2 linked regions of the Arabidopsis thaliana genome follow. The protein of the gene in region 1 interacts with the protein of each later gene in a pairwise test. Each region holds a gene or a part of one and is shown on either strand. Other genes may lie near its edges.

Region 1 (7,277 bases):
CTTCCGGCAGTGACACGTAATCATCTTCCGGGTACTTGGGCAAAGGATACTTACCCGATTCGATCAGCGTAACATCATCGACCAAGGCTTGGTAGTAGGAGTACACCTCCTTTAACGGTTTCTGCAGAAACTGAGCGATATTCTCTAAAAAATCCGGCGAACCCTCAGCAGGGAATCGAACCAGAGCTAACTCAAAACGCTTATCATCGTCCCTCTTCCAAATCGGAATTGCTGCATCCATAGTATCCAAAGAAAAAGAGAGAAATCTTGAGATCGCTAAAGATCAGGAATCTAATATATAAGCAAAAAAATAAGAAAATGTTGAAGAGAACTTTAAGGAATCTGTTACTGAGGGTATTGTTTTCCGCTTCTAATCAGATTTATAGTGAGAAAATAATAGGGAATGTTGCAAAATGAACCCTCGTCTTACTTTAATTAGCAAAAGAAACCGGAGTTATCTTTATTTCGTCCTTAACCTCCATATTGCTCAACATACCAAAGGGTCTTAAAACATTTATACTTTTACAAAGCAACCCAAAACATTTATAGTTTGTTCAAACCGGTCTTATACAGTTCATCAATCATCATCATCCGATATATACATCAGTACATCATCATCATCAACATCCCCCTATACAATTGATCATCGTCAAGCAAAACTCATCATATACTCATATACTTGAACTTATCATCACCCGGAGGGTTTTCTACTTAACAAAATCTGACTTGCCCTTAGTAGACTCCAAAGTTATGTCAAGGACACTCCAGCGTTTCCTCTTCTTACTGTCCAATTTTTGCCTTTTGTCATACTTTTGTGCATGACTTGCTACTTGTGTTGAGGTCACAAATTCCCTTGATATCATACTCCAAGCTCCTTTCCCATACTTGTTCAATCCATCAAGATCCCATAATCGTCATTATCAAGGTCAAATAAAAACATTCTCTCACAAACACGATTATTCATCATCTTAATTCAACAATCTAAAGACGTTTATCAGAAAATCAACCACCAAGATTATCATAATCATATGTAATTCATAAGTCTTTGACTAACCCTTAATGCATCAACTCCAGCAAGATTTAAGACTCTTCCTCAATCAAAAGAAACCCTAAATTTATGTCTTTGACAAACCTGTGTTCCTCTTCTGTCCAAGGAATTATCCTCGGTATCTGATTCGTCTCCCCGTGTTTGGACTCAGTCGCTTCCGTCAGTGACACGTAATAGGCTTCCGGGTACTTGGGTAATGCATACTTACCCGATTCGATCAGCACAACATCATAGACCAATATTGCGTCGTAGTAGTACTTCACCTCCTCCAAAGGTTTCTGTAGAAACTCGGCAATGTACTCCAAAAAATACGGCGAGCCCTCAGGGAATATCACCAGGGCTAACTCAAAACGCTTGTCATTGTCTCTCGTCCACGGCGGAATCAAAGCCATAATATCCAAGAAAATGAAGAAAAATAGTTTGTGGAATCTGTCAGTCTGTGTCTGTCACTGAAGAGGGTTTGTTGTTCCTTTAATTATTTTTTGAGAACCTGAGAATTTTATAGAGGTGATTTCGCCGGATAAACTAATAAGAAAAACTACAAATTTAGCCCTCAATATATAATGTCATTGAGATTTTTCGTTTCATATTAGATTTATAATGAGAAATAATAAGGAAAAATGTAAAATTAACCCTCCTCTTTGCTTTATTTAATAAAAGAAACCCGAGTTATTTTATTTCGTTCTTAACCACCATATTATATATATCAAACTCAGAACTCAGAAGCTGTCTTTCTTTTTATTAAACGTGTTTATACGTCTGTTTAATTATCACAGAAAAAAATAAAATAAAAAGATGAAAACTTTCAGTACAAGAAAGAGTTCTAAGTACGTATGACTGACTTCTTTATGAATTTTCTTTCTTTTAAACGTGTTTACGCGCGGCCTTTATCACAGAAATAAATATTCTATTTTTTTTGAATTTAAAGAAAGAAAGAAAAGATTACTTTTCAGTTCAAGAAAGAATTCAAAGTATATATCTTCTTATAAAATTTTGGTCTTATTATGCTTCCAAGTTCCATGTAAATTAAATATACTGAAAGACAAACGGTTTGACTAAATATTGATCATTTAATTAGTGATCATATTCACTTACTTTATATATAATATAATATCTTGGCTTTTTTAATGTTTTGAAACTATTTAAAATAAAAACTAACATATACTTGATAGAATCATTAATTATCCTATACACTTGAACATCATCAAGTGAAACTGATATTTTTGTATACCGAAACTACGTAGCAATCCTATACATATGCAGAAAACAAGCGAAGTTCCTTTTTTATTATATTAAATCTATATATATATATATATATATTATCTATTTTTGAGTTCAAGTTCCGTTGCTTGTTTCATTTCACACCATTCTTCTATCTTCCAACATCTAAACTCCAAGACAAGTGCCTTGACCTTGGGACGGATCATCATCATCCGGAGGGTTCTGATTTCCAGAATCTGGATTGCCCTCGGTAGACTCCAAAGTTATGTCAAAAATACTCCGGCGTTTCTCCTTCTTATTGTCCGATTTTTGCCTTTTGTAATACTGTGCATGGCTTGACACTTGCCGTGGAGTCTTTGTCTTCACAAAATTCGTTGATGTCAACGTCGAAGCTCCTTCCCCATACTTTTTCAATCCTTGCAGAAACAATCTGAAATATATCATTAAACAATCAAAATCATAAGAATTAATAACCTAGATATTATCATAATCAGCATCATCATGTTAAAATTAATATAAATCAAATTGATAATTACATCTATCTGAAGAAAAATACTTGTATACGTTACCCTAATCAACAAAACCCAAACTAATCATTTTTTGTGAGATTTGAACTGTTAACTTATACTTTTCCTCAAGATTTAAGACTTTTCCTCAATCAAAAGAAACCCTAATTCATAAGTATTTGATGACTAACCTGTGTTCCTCTTCTGTCCAAGGATTTGGCGTATCCTTCTTCCTGCGTTTGGACTGACTCGATTCCGCCAGTGGTACGTACTCGGGCATCTGATTAACATCGTTGGCCATCTTTTCGTACATGTACTTCATCTCCTCCATTTCCATAGGTTTCTGCAGATGCTGGGTGACATTCTCTAAAGGTTTCGGCAGATAAACATCGTTGACCAACTTTTCGTAGTAGTACTTCACCTCCTCCAAAGGTTTCGGCAGATGCTGGGCGACATTCACCAAACGCTTGTTATCCGGAGGGAATTGCGACAGAGCTGACTTAAAACGCCTGTTGTCGTCCTCCGTCCAGCGTGGACTCGAAGCCATAGTATCCGAGAAAATGAGAAAAAAAAAAAGAGATGGCTAAAAATTCAAGAAACAAGAAGATCGTTTTGTGGAATATGTTACGGAAGAGCGATTGTTTGTTCGTTTTAATTTTGGCAACCTGACAATTTATAGAGGATCAAGTAATGGGTGAAAATTACAAAATTAGCCCTCACTTTACAAAAAGAAACACGATTTCGTATTTAAACACGCACAACTTGACTCAGAAGTTTTCTTCTCGTTTACGTTTAGACGTACGCAGTGGGTAAAACTTGGAGTGTAATTTCAAGTTATTTTAGTTTCCTATTTAACCCCAACTTTATATATACTACGTACTTAACTTGAAAGCTCCATCTTACGTGTATCTTCTGTTTAGCCTAGATGAAATAAAGCAAAAAATAAAAACATTGAAATATATATTATTTTAATGGTTAAAGAAAATAATATAGATGACCACAAAATTAAATAAAATATGGTTTGCCAAAAAAATGGAAATCCCAAATCTTTAACATACCACACAAAAAAAATAATCAAGGGCCTTCAATATCTTTAGGCTTTTTATTTTTTGGTTGTTAATACAGTCATAGAGATTTATATCACTTTGAGTTGGGGGCCTTAGCATGGTGACCGATTTCCAGAGCGACGAGACTCTCTTGTTGGCCTGTTGAGTCCACATTGGTGTTATTTGCTCCCTGCCGTTTCATCACATTCACATCGGTGCTTGCCACATTTAAGTCGTTAATCACATTTTTCTTTGAGCTTTGCCACTGGTAAAAGTTTTCTGCATATATCTCGACTTGGATCGGGCTCTTGCAATCCAATAAGACGGCTATTTTACGCCAATCTTTCCCAAATCGGTCTAACCCAATCAGAAACCATCTGCATTACAATTTCCACCAGTTCATAGATCAGCCCATTTTAATCAAGTTTCACCATGGCATTATTAGTTAACGATATAAATTGAGTCAAATGAAAAAAAAAAAAAAACTATATTGTCCACATTAAAAAAATAATGCTAGAATGTGTAAATCGTAAGATCATAGGACTAAATACATTTTAATCTCAGAAATGAACTATGTGAATTATGGAGTCTAAGAGGAGAATGCGTCTAGCTAGATCCACAAACCAATACCAGTACTAATCAATCATTATGTTTATAATTGAAACTTATACGTGTATGTAAATTCCACTAACTAACAAAAATCATAACTCATCACTCATTAATCTTATATACTTACTCATGTGTTTCTTTGGTCCATATAGTTCTCTCGGCCTGGTACGAACTTTGAGCCATATCCTTAGTCAATTCATTAGGAAAAGCTACTCGACTGGATCCCATCTCTAAAAGATCATTGACCAATTCCTTGTAATGCTCCTTAACATCATCCACCGATCTATCCACATACTCGGCGACACTCTCAAACCGAGTAAGCAAAAAGGCAGTGAACATCACCAGTGCATCCTTGAACATCTCGTTCTCCTCTGTCGTCCATGAATTTTCAGCCATGATTCCCAAAACAAATTAAGGAAAATGAAGTCTACAAAACAGAATGGTGTGAATCTGGAGAACTACAGTATATATAATAACTCATGTAAGGGATATGGCAGCTTATAAATCAACTCAAGTAACAAAAAATATATGGCTTCTCTTCTCTCAAATTGGGGTGTATTAAGTTTCCTTCCTTTTTCTTATATTCAAAGGGTAAATTTTATTTCAGATTTTGCTATATTGCATACAAAGTCTTTATTTTATTTCTTTCTACTGATTTATTGTCATTCATTTAGTTTCCTATATCCTTTTTATTAAATTTGTTTTATAATATTGACGATTTTAGCCAATTAGATTATGATACGTGTACAAATAAATTTTTATTTTCACACGTGTTAGCAATCAGAATTATGATACGTGTTACAGCCAATTAGATTATAACACGTGTATAAACAAATTTATGTTTTCACACGTGTTAAAAATTAAAAATTTAACATACAAAAGATTATAGACCTAATACCACACAAATAAAATAAATAGTCAAAACTTTAGAAATTAAGAACTTTCATTAACATGAAAGAAACAAAAAATTGTTTATTTTTTCAAACTCTCTTCACACGAAAAGGAAAATAATCAATCATAATTATTCACCAAGTTGTGAATATTGCGACGGATTGCAACGATCCCGGTTACTGGTTGGTCACTCTGATACTTAAAAGAGTAACATTTTTATCCATGTTCGTTGGTTGCATTCGTTAAACAAACAAGTTGTGATTATTATCGACCATTGTCCAAGGAAAAATAAGCATTCATTATTTATACTAGGAATTAAATATTTGCCGTCTAAACTCAAATAATAAAAATTGGGAGACCGAACAGATTATAGAATATTTGTGTTAATGCTTACGTGATTTATTTATTTTAGTCGATGCTTATGTGATCACTGATCATTATGAATACAAAAAAATAGAAGCTACTTTAATATAATAAAACTAAGTTGACCAAAATAATAATAATAATTAGCGTTTCCAAAGCTTGTAATAAATTACACCAAAAAGCGTCTAATTCTTTTTTTCGTCTCTCAGTCTTTTGCAATCTCACATTATAAAACCACTTGTTTCAAATTACTCTCAAAAACATTATAATCCGTTACATATTGACCCGACCCGAAATGGAGGCCCAATACCGGAACCACGACGGAGACACCTCTTTCTCTAGCCTCCGTGTCTACCTCAACTCTCTCTCCGACACTCCCTCCCGTTTTTCCCGCCGAGCCGTTTCCGTTTCCACCTCTTACGACGAGATGAGCCGCGTCCGCGCCGTCTCCGGCGAGCAGATGCGTCGTACTCTCCGTTGGTACGATCTCATCGGACTCGGAATCGGTGGAATGATCGGAGCCGGAGTCTTCGTCACCACCGGCCGTGCTAGTCGTCTCTACGCTGGTCCATCAATCGTCGTCTCTTACGCAATCGCCGGACTCTGTGCTCTACTCTCCGCCTTCTGTTACACCGAGTTCGCCGTTCACCTCCCCGTCGCCGGCGGTGCTTTCAGCTACATCCGTATCACATTCGGTCAGTAACATTCTCCCGCCAAAATCAAAACTCCCAAATCGCAGAGAAATTCAAATTTCATTTTTTCCTCTCCGATCATTCATTTTTTTCCGTTACAGGCGAGTTTCCGGCGTTTATAACCGGAGCAAATCTGATAATGGACTACGTACTGTCAAACGCCGCCGTTTCAAGAGGATTCACCGCTTATCTCGGATCTGCATTCGGAATCTCAACATCGGAGTGGAGATTCATCGTCTCCGGTCTCCCAAACGGATTCAACGAAATCGATCCCATCGCCGTTATCGTCGTCCTCGCCGTCACGTTCGTCATCTGTTACAGTACGAGAGAGAGTTCGAAGGTGAATATGGTATTAACGGCGTTACACATTGCATTTATAGTATTCGTGATCGTCATGGGTTTCTCGAAAGGAGACGTAAAGAATTTAACCCGACCCGATAACCCGGAAAACCCATCCGGATTCTTCCCGTTTGGAGTTTCGGGTGTGTTTAACGGAGCAGCAATGGTTTATCTAAGTTACATAGGATACGACGCCGTTTCGACAATGGCTGAAGAAGTAAAAGACCCAGTCAAAGACATACCAATGGGAATCTCTGGCTCAGTCGCAATCGTCATTGTACTTTACTGTTTAATGGCTATCTCTATGTCAATGCTTCTCCCGTACGATCTGGTCCGTACCATCAAATACACATTTTTAATTTAAGCTTTTTTCTATGGGTTTTGTGGGTGAATGATTTGGTGTGGTTGTGTGTACGTAAGCAGATAGATGCGGAGGCACCGTATTCGGCGGCGTTTAGTAAATCGGAAGGATGGGAATGGGTGACGAGAGTGGTTGGGATTGGAGCAAGTTTCGGGATATTAACGTCGTTGATAGTAGCCATGTTGGGTCAGGCTCGGTACA
Region 2 (8,460 bases), on another chromosome or scaffold:
TGTTGTTTGTGTAATCCAGTCGAAGAGTTATTCAATTGTAAAGATAATATAGGGTATAATTTCATAATTTTTTCAGCAAAAGCACAACTTTATTAAGCTAAAAAATAGACATAAAATATGTTTAACAACATCTATTTAAGACATTACTGTGAAATAGGTTAGAAACATAGTGCTAATTAAGTCAAGTCAACATTTTGTGTCCTAAAAAAATAAAATAATAAATTTGTGTCCTAAGTGAAAAAAAAATAGAAAATTTTAATTCCATCTGCAAATCTCCTTATATTCAATCAAAATACAGAGAGGGAGAGACTTGTTAAAGAAACTTTGTTTCTTCTCTTGAAATTGATAATCTTCTAGAGTATTGAACCATCTTCATGGAACGTTACACAAAAAAAAACGAGAGGTTCAAGGCAGAGGAAGGAAAAGGATCAAAGAAGTCGAGAACTTTCCTTACAGAACGCGAAAGACGAGCTCTCTTCAATGACCGTTTCTTCGACTTAAAGAACCTCATTCCAAATCCCACAAAGGTTAGATATATATTTTTATGTTTAATCTTTCATTCTTTTTCGTCTGTTTAATCTTTCATTCATTCTCTCCAATATCTCTTGATCAATACACATGCTCTATTACTAGGGAGGTGAAGCATCCATTGTTCAAGATGGGATCGTTTACATCAACGAGTTACAAAGACTAGTTAGCGAGCTTAAGTATTTGGTTGAGAAGAAAAAATGCGGTGCAAGGCACAACAACATTGAAGTAGACAATAAAAACACGATTTATGGGACTAGCAAGATAGAGCATCCATTCTCCAAAAACAAAAACACTTTTAACTGTTTGATTCGTACACTTAGATTTGTACACCACTTTTAGTGTACATATATATATAAAAATACACAACGTACACTTTACATTTGTACACTAAAAGTGTTGTACAATCCAAGTGTACGAATCAAATAGTGAAAAGTGACTACTTTGCAAATTATGAATAGTAAAGTGACTACTTTTCCAATTAAGTTTGAAAAAGTGACTAGTTTGCCAACACACCCAACTTTCTTTAGAGCTGAAAATGTCAAGACAATGTTATATAAGAAAGATGAATGCACTTTGATTACGGAGAAAGAAAAGAAGGAATGATTCAAAGAAAAGAAGCAGTGATGAATGATGAAATTCATCCCCAACCCCAAGCATCTACGATGAAGCATCATGCATAATATATAAGAGTGATCAAATTAATCATAGACCACTTTGAATAGACTTGTCTATTGTTAGAGATATTGTGACGTGTGTTTTAGACCGGTTAAGTCGGGTTTGTAGACCGATAATTTTTAGAGAAGTGCAGGCCCTGTTAAACTAATATCAATTTCTATGAAATATCTGTAGTGCAACCGTCAAATAAAATAAAAATGATACGATTCATTACCTAAATGAATCCAACCCAACCCCTTTTCTGAAACTATTGGCTATGTATGGACCGAATCAAGCGGCACTACATTTTTAATATATCAAAAACCAAATCGTTGGTTTGGTCCGGCAATACATTTTAACATTTTCTGAGTAATCAGAGTTTGTACTGTTTAGTTAGGATGGGGACAGTCGCAGTGTACCGTGTACGAGAGAGGTAGGTGACCAGAATTTTTTCAGTTTCTGTCGAATTTCAAGAATAACCCTAATTCTTTTTTTTACTAAATCAAATATAAAGTATATTATTATCCCATTCTTGGATGTGGGACCTACTTCCACTACTTCTCAAACAACCCGCTCTCTTTGCTATAAACAGAAATCGCATGACCCAACCGCTCAACAAGGAAACTTATACAATTAGTTTGATCCAAAATTGTTATTTATTTAGAAAAATTTAATAGAAAAGATTGAAATATAAACATATATGAATGAAATGAATTATTTATATTCAATACAGTCCATGTTATTTTTTTACCAGATTCTCTATTATACATCTCTTCAAGTATCTAAATATTTTTCTTATGGATGAATTTTTATTTTATCATTTTATGTTATCGATTATACACAAAGAAAGGAAGTGTTAAATTAGATTAATTAAGTGAGTTGTCGATATACATTACAGGAAGTGTTTGAGATAGAAACTATTCTATGATGGTTTAGTTGTTGAACACAGTTTACTTATAAAATTAGAAAACCCAGGGGTTTAAGTATTTATACTTCTATTTAACTATGATATACATACATAAGTTTTATCAATGCCATGTACAACGTATAGATGAATCAAACTAGATGATGTGATAAATAATTCCATGATTGTTGATGATAAGGTAGTTAATCATCCATAAATTAAAACTGAACACTTTTTATATACAAAACATATCCATTTAAACCGTGCATTAGTATTTTTGGTTCTTGTATTAAGTCGAAGAGTTTTTTCAATTCGAGTATATAATAAAATACGATTGCATAAACATAACACATATTAAACATGAGATTAATTATAGAAGTAAAACATACATCTAAGACAAGAAAATAGTTTCGCGTTAAAATACTTTTATCAATTACAATTTTGTATTTGGGATATTTTTATCCAAATTTTACTAAAATGAAAGGAAAAGGGTAGAAATGGGAAAGAGCAAACGGGGCTACTTGGTTTGTCGGTGTGAGTTAGTGGAGCCCATATCATATTGGTCAGAGAGAAGATCGTATTTGCTGATAATGACGGAAATACCCCTAAAGTCGTTGAAAAGACCTGAGAGATTCGGCAAGGGACCCATCTGTTGATTCTTCTAACCAACCTTTATGTTTGGCCACAATGATAAATCACATGCTCCAACCAAAACAGCCCCCAAAAAAAACCCAATTTATATTTTCTTAAAAGTGAGCTTATAACGTAAAAGAAATATATACAATGCTAATTTTCTTACAACTGGTTAAGTGTTAAAAGATATGTTTAGGATCATATTGGTATTTGGTAATCAGGTTTCAACATTTGAAATGATTAATCAAAAAATAAGTTGCATAGAAAATGATTTAAAAAATGACTATAAACAAGAAGTAATTTCACAAACCATGTAACAAATCAAAACCTTAATAAATCATGCATCAAAGTTGGATTAGAAACATAGCTTAATGGATTATATACAACATTTTCGTTTAAATTAGACACCTAGAATATACATGTTATCCAATAATTTAACTTTGCCATCTTTTTACCCTTATTGTATTGTGTGTCTCCATCTACAAATGTCCGTATATTTCAAACACAGAGAGGGAGAGAGAGACTCTTGTTTAAAAAACTTACTTCTTCTCCTGAAAATTGAGAAGACAGACGTAGAGAAGAATTAATTGTAACAAAGGTTCTAATTTTCCCAGCTCTGATTACTCATTATCTTACATCTCTTTCTATCTATTGTCAAATTCAAACCCTTAACCCAATGTTTAATCTTTTGGATCCTAACAAACATTTCTATGGTTTCGTTTCCAAAATTATAAAAGAGCTAACTTTTTTTGAAATTAGTTTCAAATTTTTGGTTTTTCTTCTTCTTAAAGATTGTTGAATGTTACTTTTGATTTGCAGGTGTTAAAGAATCATCTAGAGTACTCGTTGAACCATTTCCATGGAAGGTAACAAAATTTCATTATTTGGTCTAATTTCTCATGAAAGTTGCTACCTTTTTCGTTCTGGAAGATCTAAATTAGTGTTTGAGTTACAAACGCAGAAGAAAGAGAAAGCCTTTACGAGGAAATGGGTTGTTTCGATCCCAACACTCCAGCAGAAGTTACGGTGGAGAGTAGCTTCTCTCAAGCCGAACCACCACCACCACCACCGCAAGTTCTGGTTGCCGGAAGCACAAGCAACAGCAACTGCAGTGTTGAGGTAGAAGAGCTCTCTGAATTCCATCTCAGCCCACAAGATTGTCCTCAAGCTTCTTCAACACCTCTCCAGTTTCACATCAATCCTCCTCCTCCACCACCTCCTCCTTGTGATCAACTCCACAACAATTTGATTCACCAAATGGCTTCACATCAACAACAACACTCTAATTGGGATAATGGGTATCAGGATTTTGTGAATTTGGGACCTAACTCTGCAACAACTCCTGATTTGCTTAGTCTCTTACACTTGCCTAGATGCTCATTGCCTCCTAATCATCATCCTTCCTCTATGCTACCTACCTCTTTCTCAGACATTATGTCTTCTTCTTCTGCTGCTGCTGTTATGTACGACCCTCTCTTCCATTTGAATTTCCCTATGCAGCCTAGAGATCAGAACCAGCTAAGAAACGGCTCTTGTTTACTTGGAGTTGAAGATCAAATTCAGATGGATGCTAATGGAGGAATGAATGTTTTGTACTTTGAAGGAGCAAACAACAACAATGGTGGATTTGAGAATGAGATTCTTGAGTTTAACAATGGAGTTACTCGTAAAGGAAGAGGATCAAGAAAGTCGAGAACTTCCCCTACAGAACGTGAGAGACGAGTTCACTTCAATGATCGTTTCTTCGACTTAAAGAACCTCATTCCAAATCCCACAAAGGTATATACTTTACTTTGCTTTGATTTCAATTCATGTTGTTAATGTGTATGAGGAGACTATGAAATGAGAGACATTGTTGGTTTAATCTCTGTAGATTGATAGAGCATCGATAGTTGGAGAGGCGATAGATTACATCAAAGAGCTTTTAAGGACAATAGAGGAGTTTAAGATGCTTGTGGAGAAGAAGAGATGTGGGAGATTCAGGAGCAAGAAGAGAGCTAGAGTTGGTGAAGGAGGAGGAGGAGAAGATCAAGAAGAAGAAGAAGACACTGTGAATTACAAGCCACAGAGCGAAGTAGACCAGTCTTGCTTCAACAAGAACAACAACAACTCACTGAGATGTTCATGGCTTAAGAGGAAATCGAAAGTCACTGAGGTCGATGTACGTATAATCGATGATGAAGTAACCATCAAGCTTGTTCAGAAGAAGAAGATTAACTGTTTGTTGTTCACCACCAAAGTTCTTGATCAGCTTCAGCTAGATCTTCACCATGTTGCAGGTGGACAGATTGGTGAACATTACAGCTTCTTGTTCAACACTAAGGTAATGAAAATGTCTCACTAATATAGTTCTGTTATTAACTCCAAACCAATAAACTAATCTTTTTCAATTTGGTTTGAGGCAGATTTGTGAAGGATCTTGTGTGTATGCAAGTGGAATTGCAGACACATTGATGGAGGTCGTGGAGAAGCAGTACATGGAAGCTGTTCCTAGCAACGGCTACTAGATTCCAGACACACTTATGGAGTAGTTTATTGCTTTTTAATAACTTTTGTGATACCCCTCTAATGACTGATTAAGTTATTAATCACTTTGGTAATTTTCAAGTTTATTTAGCTAGAGTTAAAGTTAGAGCTAGAGCTGAGGCTCTTTGTCTGGATTTTGTCTAACTCTATATATTTCTTCTAGCTTTATCGGTTTCGTTTTTCGACCACATTTTAATCTCTTGCGTTTTTTTTTTTAACAAATGCTCTTGCTCATATTTACCTTACGTTTCATATTGCTCTTAATGGGCCAGTGGGCCGTGTCGTTTGAAAAGTTTGAGAATAATCATCAGTCCGGAATTTATAAACCATTGCTTCTTTATCGATTCTGGTTTTCTAACTAGAAATTAAGAAACTTGCTTACATTTTCAGTGGTTCTTTTTACAATGAGCCAATTTTAATCTGGTTCTTTTTACGATTTTTCATTTACCGTTGAATTACGTGTTTAAGCTTTTATTTAATAATGTGTACTATCAATTAGGCTTTGACAAAACAAAAAATGTACTATCAATTAGTGAATGTTAATTTGTTTTAGATCTAAAACAAAAAAACAAGGATGTGATTTTGTCTCAACGCTCTTGTCTTTGCTCGTTGTCTGTCACCCTTTTTGCTTATTCCCTATTTCGAACACGTTCATGTGTATTTTTTTGTTTTGAAGTCTATTTTCACATTTAAAATAAAGTATGTCTGTGAAAAGCTTATGACGTGTATCACAATTTTAACTTACTAATTCTGGACAAGCATATCACTTGATAATTATATATAGCTTTTCACATATTCACATTTGGCAAAAGGAAATTAAAAAAAAAACGGTAATTGTGGTTGGTGACGGTTTCTCTAATTGTTCAACTCCGTTATTGCCATTCCGTTTTTTCGTTTATCCTCAAAGAAGTTGTAAGCATTTAACTGAGGTTTGAGGGCTTGTCTAGGATAGGAGCTGCTCGTGGAGGCCATGATGAAGACTTGGATTCTTTGGAGTTGAGGGATCGGGTTCTTTAGAGCTAAACCAATCACGTTTTTAAAGCTTTTTTCTTTAGGTTTTCAGTATTTTTCTGTTAACAGTATATGTTTATTTATTTTTTGTCAAAATTTCAAATAATTGTATCAATACTTCAAACTCTACCAAAAAACAAAAAAAATCTCGACATGAAATTATTTTAATTCCAACGTCCATGGTGAATCTTAAGCTTTATTAGGTTAAGAATGTTTCAATTTACGACATCCAACAAAATATCGACATGTAGAATTTGATTTTATCGCCTATGGTTAATCTTTATAGCTTATTGGGTTAAGAATGTTTCACACACAAAAAAAGTAATAAGAAAGTCAAACAGCCAATTAATAATGAGATTAACAATAATGATGATAACGAAAGCATCATTAACGACGTATTAACACAATATAATATGAACGTCATAATGATATTTTATATAATTTATAATATAACATTTATACAATATAACAGGAACGTACCTTTATAGATCTAATCGAATTACCCTACACACACAAAACTTAATAGTTTATCTTATCAACTTCTTTTTGGTTAGATTTTGTTATTCGAATTAAGAATAACTTTATAGCTTGGATCGACTTGATTGATTTTTTAAGATTCACAGTCTTAGATTTACAGGAATCGTTACTTGGAGAAATTTATATCCTCTAATATCTTTCACGCAAAAAATGAAAATTATTAAAGCACAAAAAAAAAAAAAAAATTAAAGCAATTAAGGTGGACACACACACTTTTCAGCCATATAACGCAATAATAGATTTTTTTTTCATCAAGACAAAAAATAAGAGTTTTTTTTTTATATATATACACTTTAACATCACCATCTCTTCCAATAATTTCATTTGGATACAACAAACAAAAAATAAGAGAACCAAAGAAATTGCAGAATGAACAAAACAAATTTCAAGATTAATTATCACAAAATTAAAGTTTAATAGTGGCTTTTGCTGAAATCAATTACAAGATCAACATGAGCTCATAAGAAGTTGTTCTAAATACTCAGCACCTAAATCTTCAAAAACCACAAGTGTACCACTTTCTTGCTTCACAACACTCTGCTTACTACTACTTCTTGATGTTGAAGAAGTAGACGAAGAAGAAGAGCAAGAAGAAGAATTAGAAGAAGAAGAAGAAGAAGAAGAGGATCGCTTTTTCCCTCTAGGCCGGTTTCGAAGAGAATGTTTTCTCTTCAAGGCCATAACCGGAGATCCTCCATCATGAAGATTCACATTCTCCATTTTCTTTAGCGACTCTCTAACCACTTCCACCGGGAAATTAAGTGTTGCAAGAGATCCTTTTGTGGCGAAAGCCGCTTGATCATAAGCAAGAGCGGCTTCCTCGGCTTTGTCAAATGTCCCGAGCCAAACCCTAATTCCATTCCTCGTTGAATCTCTTATCTCCGCTGCAAATTTCCCCCACGGCCTTTTCCTCACTCCTCTGTATGATCTTTCTTCATCAATTCCAACCTTTTCTTCTTCTTCGGAGTTAGAAACGTCGCCGTTTTGAATTTCTTCCTTAATCATCATCTCCGGTGACTCAAATGAGAAAAAGTCATCGGAGTAATCATAATTAGGGCAAAAGAAGGCTTGAGGTTCAGATGATTGATCCAAGAAACAGCTCTCGTTCCATAAGAGTGATTCTTGTGATGAGCTCCAAGAACTTGGAGATGAATACATGGAAGATTGGGAATATTCCATAAGTTTTTTTTTTTTTTTTTTTTTACGATTTCTCTTTTTCTTTTCTTTTTGTTATCTCTTCTTGTTGTGGCAATAAGTTTATTTCAAAACCTAATCCTATATATATAAGAGACACGGAATTTATAAGATATATGAAAGTGGGAAGTATTTTATTGTTATATTGTTTATCATAGGTCCTATTAGACAAATATGGCTGCCTTAAAAAACTAATAAAATTTTAACACAACCGAATGGGGACCAACCACAAAACTGGTATTTTCTTTTTCAATGTATTTTGGGAAAAAAACAAGATTTTATACGGACCTATCCTCCAATTCAAAGAAAAATAAATGGGTGATTTTTATTTACACGTGGCGTAAAACTGTTTAGAGGGAGTGACGTTAGGCGGCGAGAAAATGACAAAATAGATGAGATCATTAGTACCGGTGATGTGGCAAACAAGTGCCACGTAAGCTTTGACAGACTCGATTTTAGGACCCGCTTAT

What was found.
Region 2: the proteins of AT3G10590 (region 1) and AT2G31220 interact in a two-hybrid assay, tested with the Arabidopsis thaliana proteins (one large-scale study listed by BioGRID).

The regions. Positions count from the first base shown.
Region 1 is NC_003074.8:3,307,990-3,315,266, forward strand, and holds AT3G10590 (Duplicated homeodomain-like superfamily protein), read right to left. Parts: upstream 3,339-7,277; 5' UTR 3,323-3,338; coding exon 2,967-3,322; intron 2,700-2,966; coding exon 2,435-2,699; 3' UTR 2,219-2,434; downstream 1-2,218. Other genes in the region: AT3G10580 (Homeodomain-like superfamily protein), read right to left, coding at 1-241; AT3G10585 (Homeodomain-like superfamily protein), read right to left, coding at 578-631, 717-852, 1,133-1,440; AT3G10595 (Duplicated homeodomain-like superfamily protein), read right to left, coding at 3,916-4,198, 4,558-4,826; CAT7 (cationic amino acid transporter 7), read left to right, coding at 5,980-6,379, 6,478-7,046, 7,139-7,277.
Region 2 is NC_003071.7:13,299,433-13,307,892, forward strand, and holds AT2G31220 (basic helix-loop-helix (bHLH) DNA-binding superfamily protein), read left to right. Parts: upstream 1-3,233; 5' UTR 3,234-3,320; intron 3,321-3,541; 5' UTR 3,542-3,581; coding exon 3,582-3,588; intron 3,589-3,640; exon of another isoform or gene 3,641-3,683; coding exon 3,684-4,501; intron 4,502-4,595; coding exon 4,596-5,045; intron 5,046-5,127; coding exon 5,128-5,229; 3' UTR 5,230-5,437; downstream 5,438-8,460. Other genes in the region: AT2G31215 (basic helix-loop-helix (bHLH) DNA-binding superfamily protein), read left to right, coding at 375-527, 634-870; ERF15 (ethylene-responsive element binding factor 15), read right to left, coding at 7,244-7,975.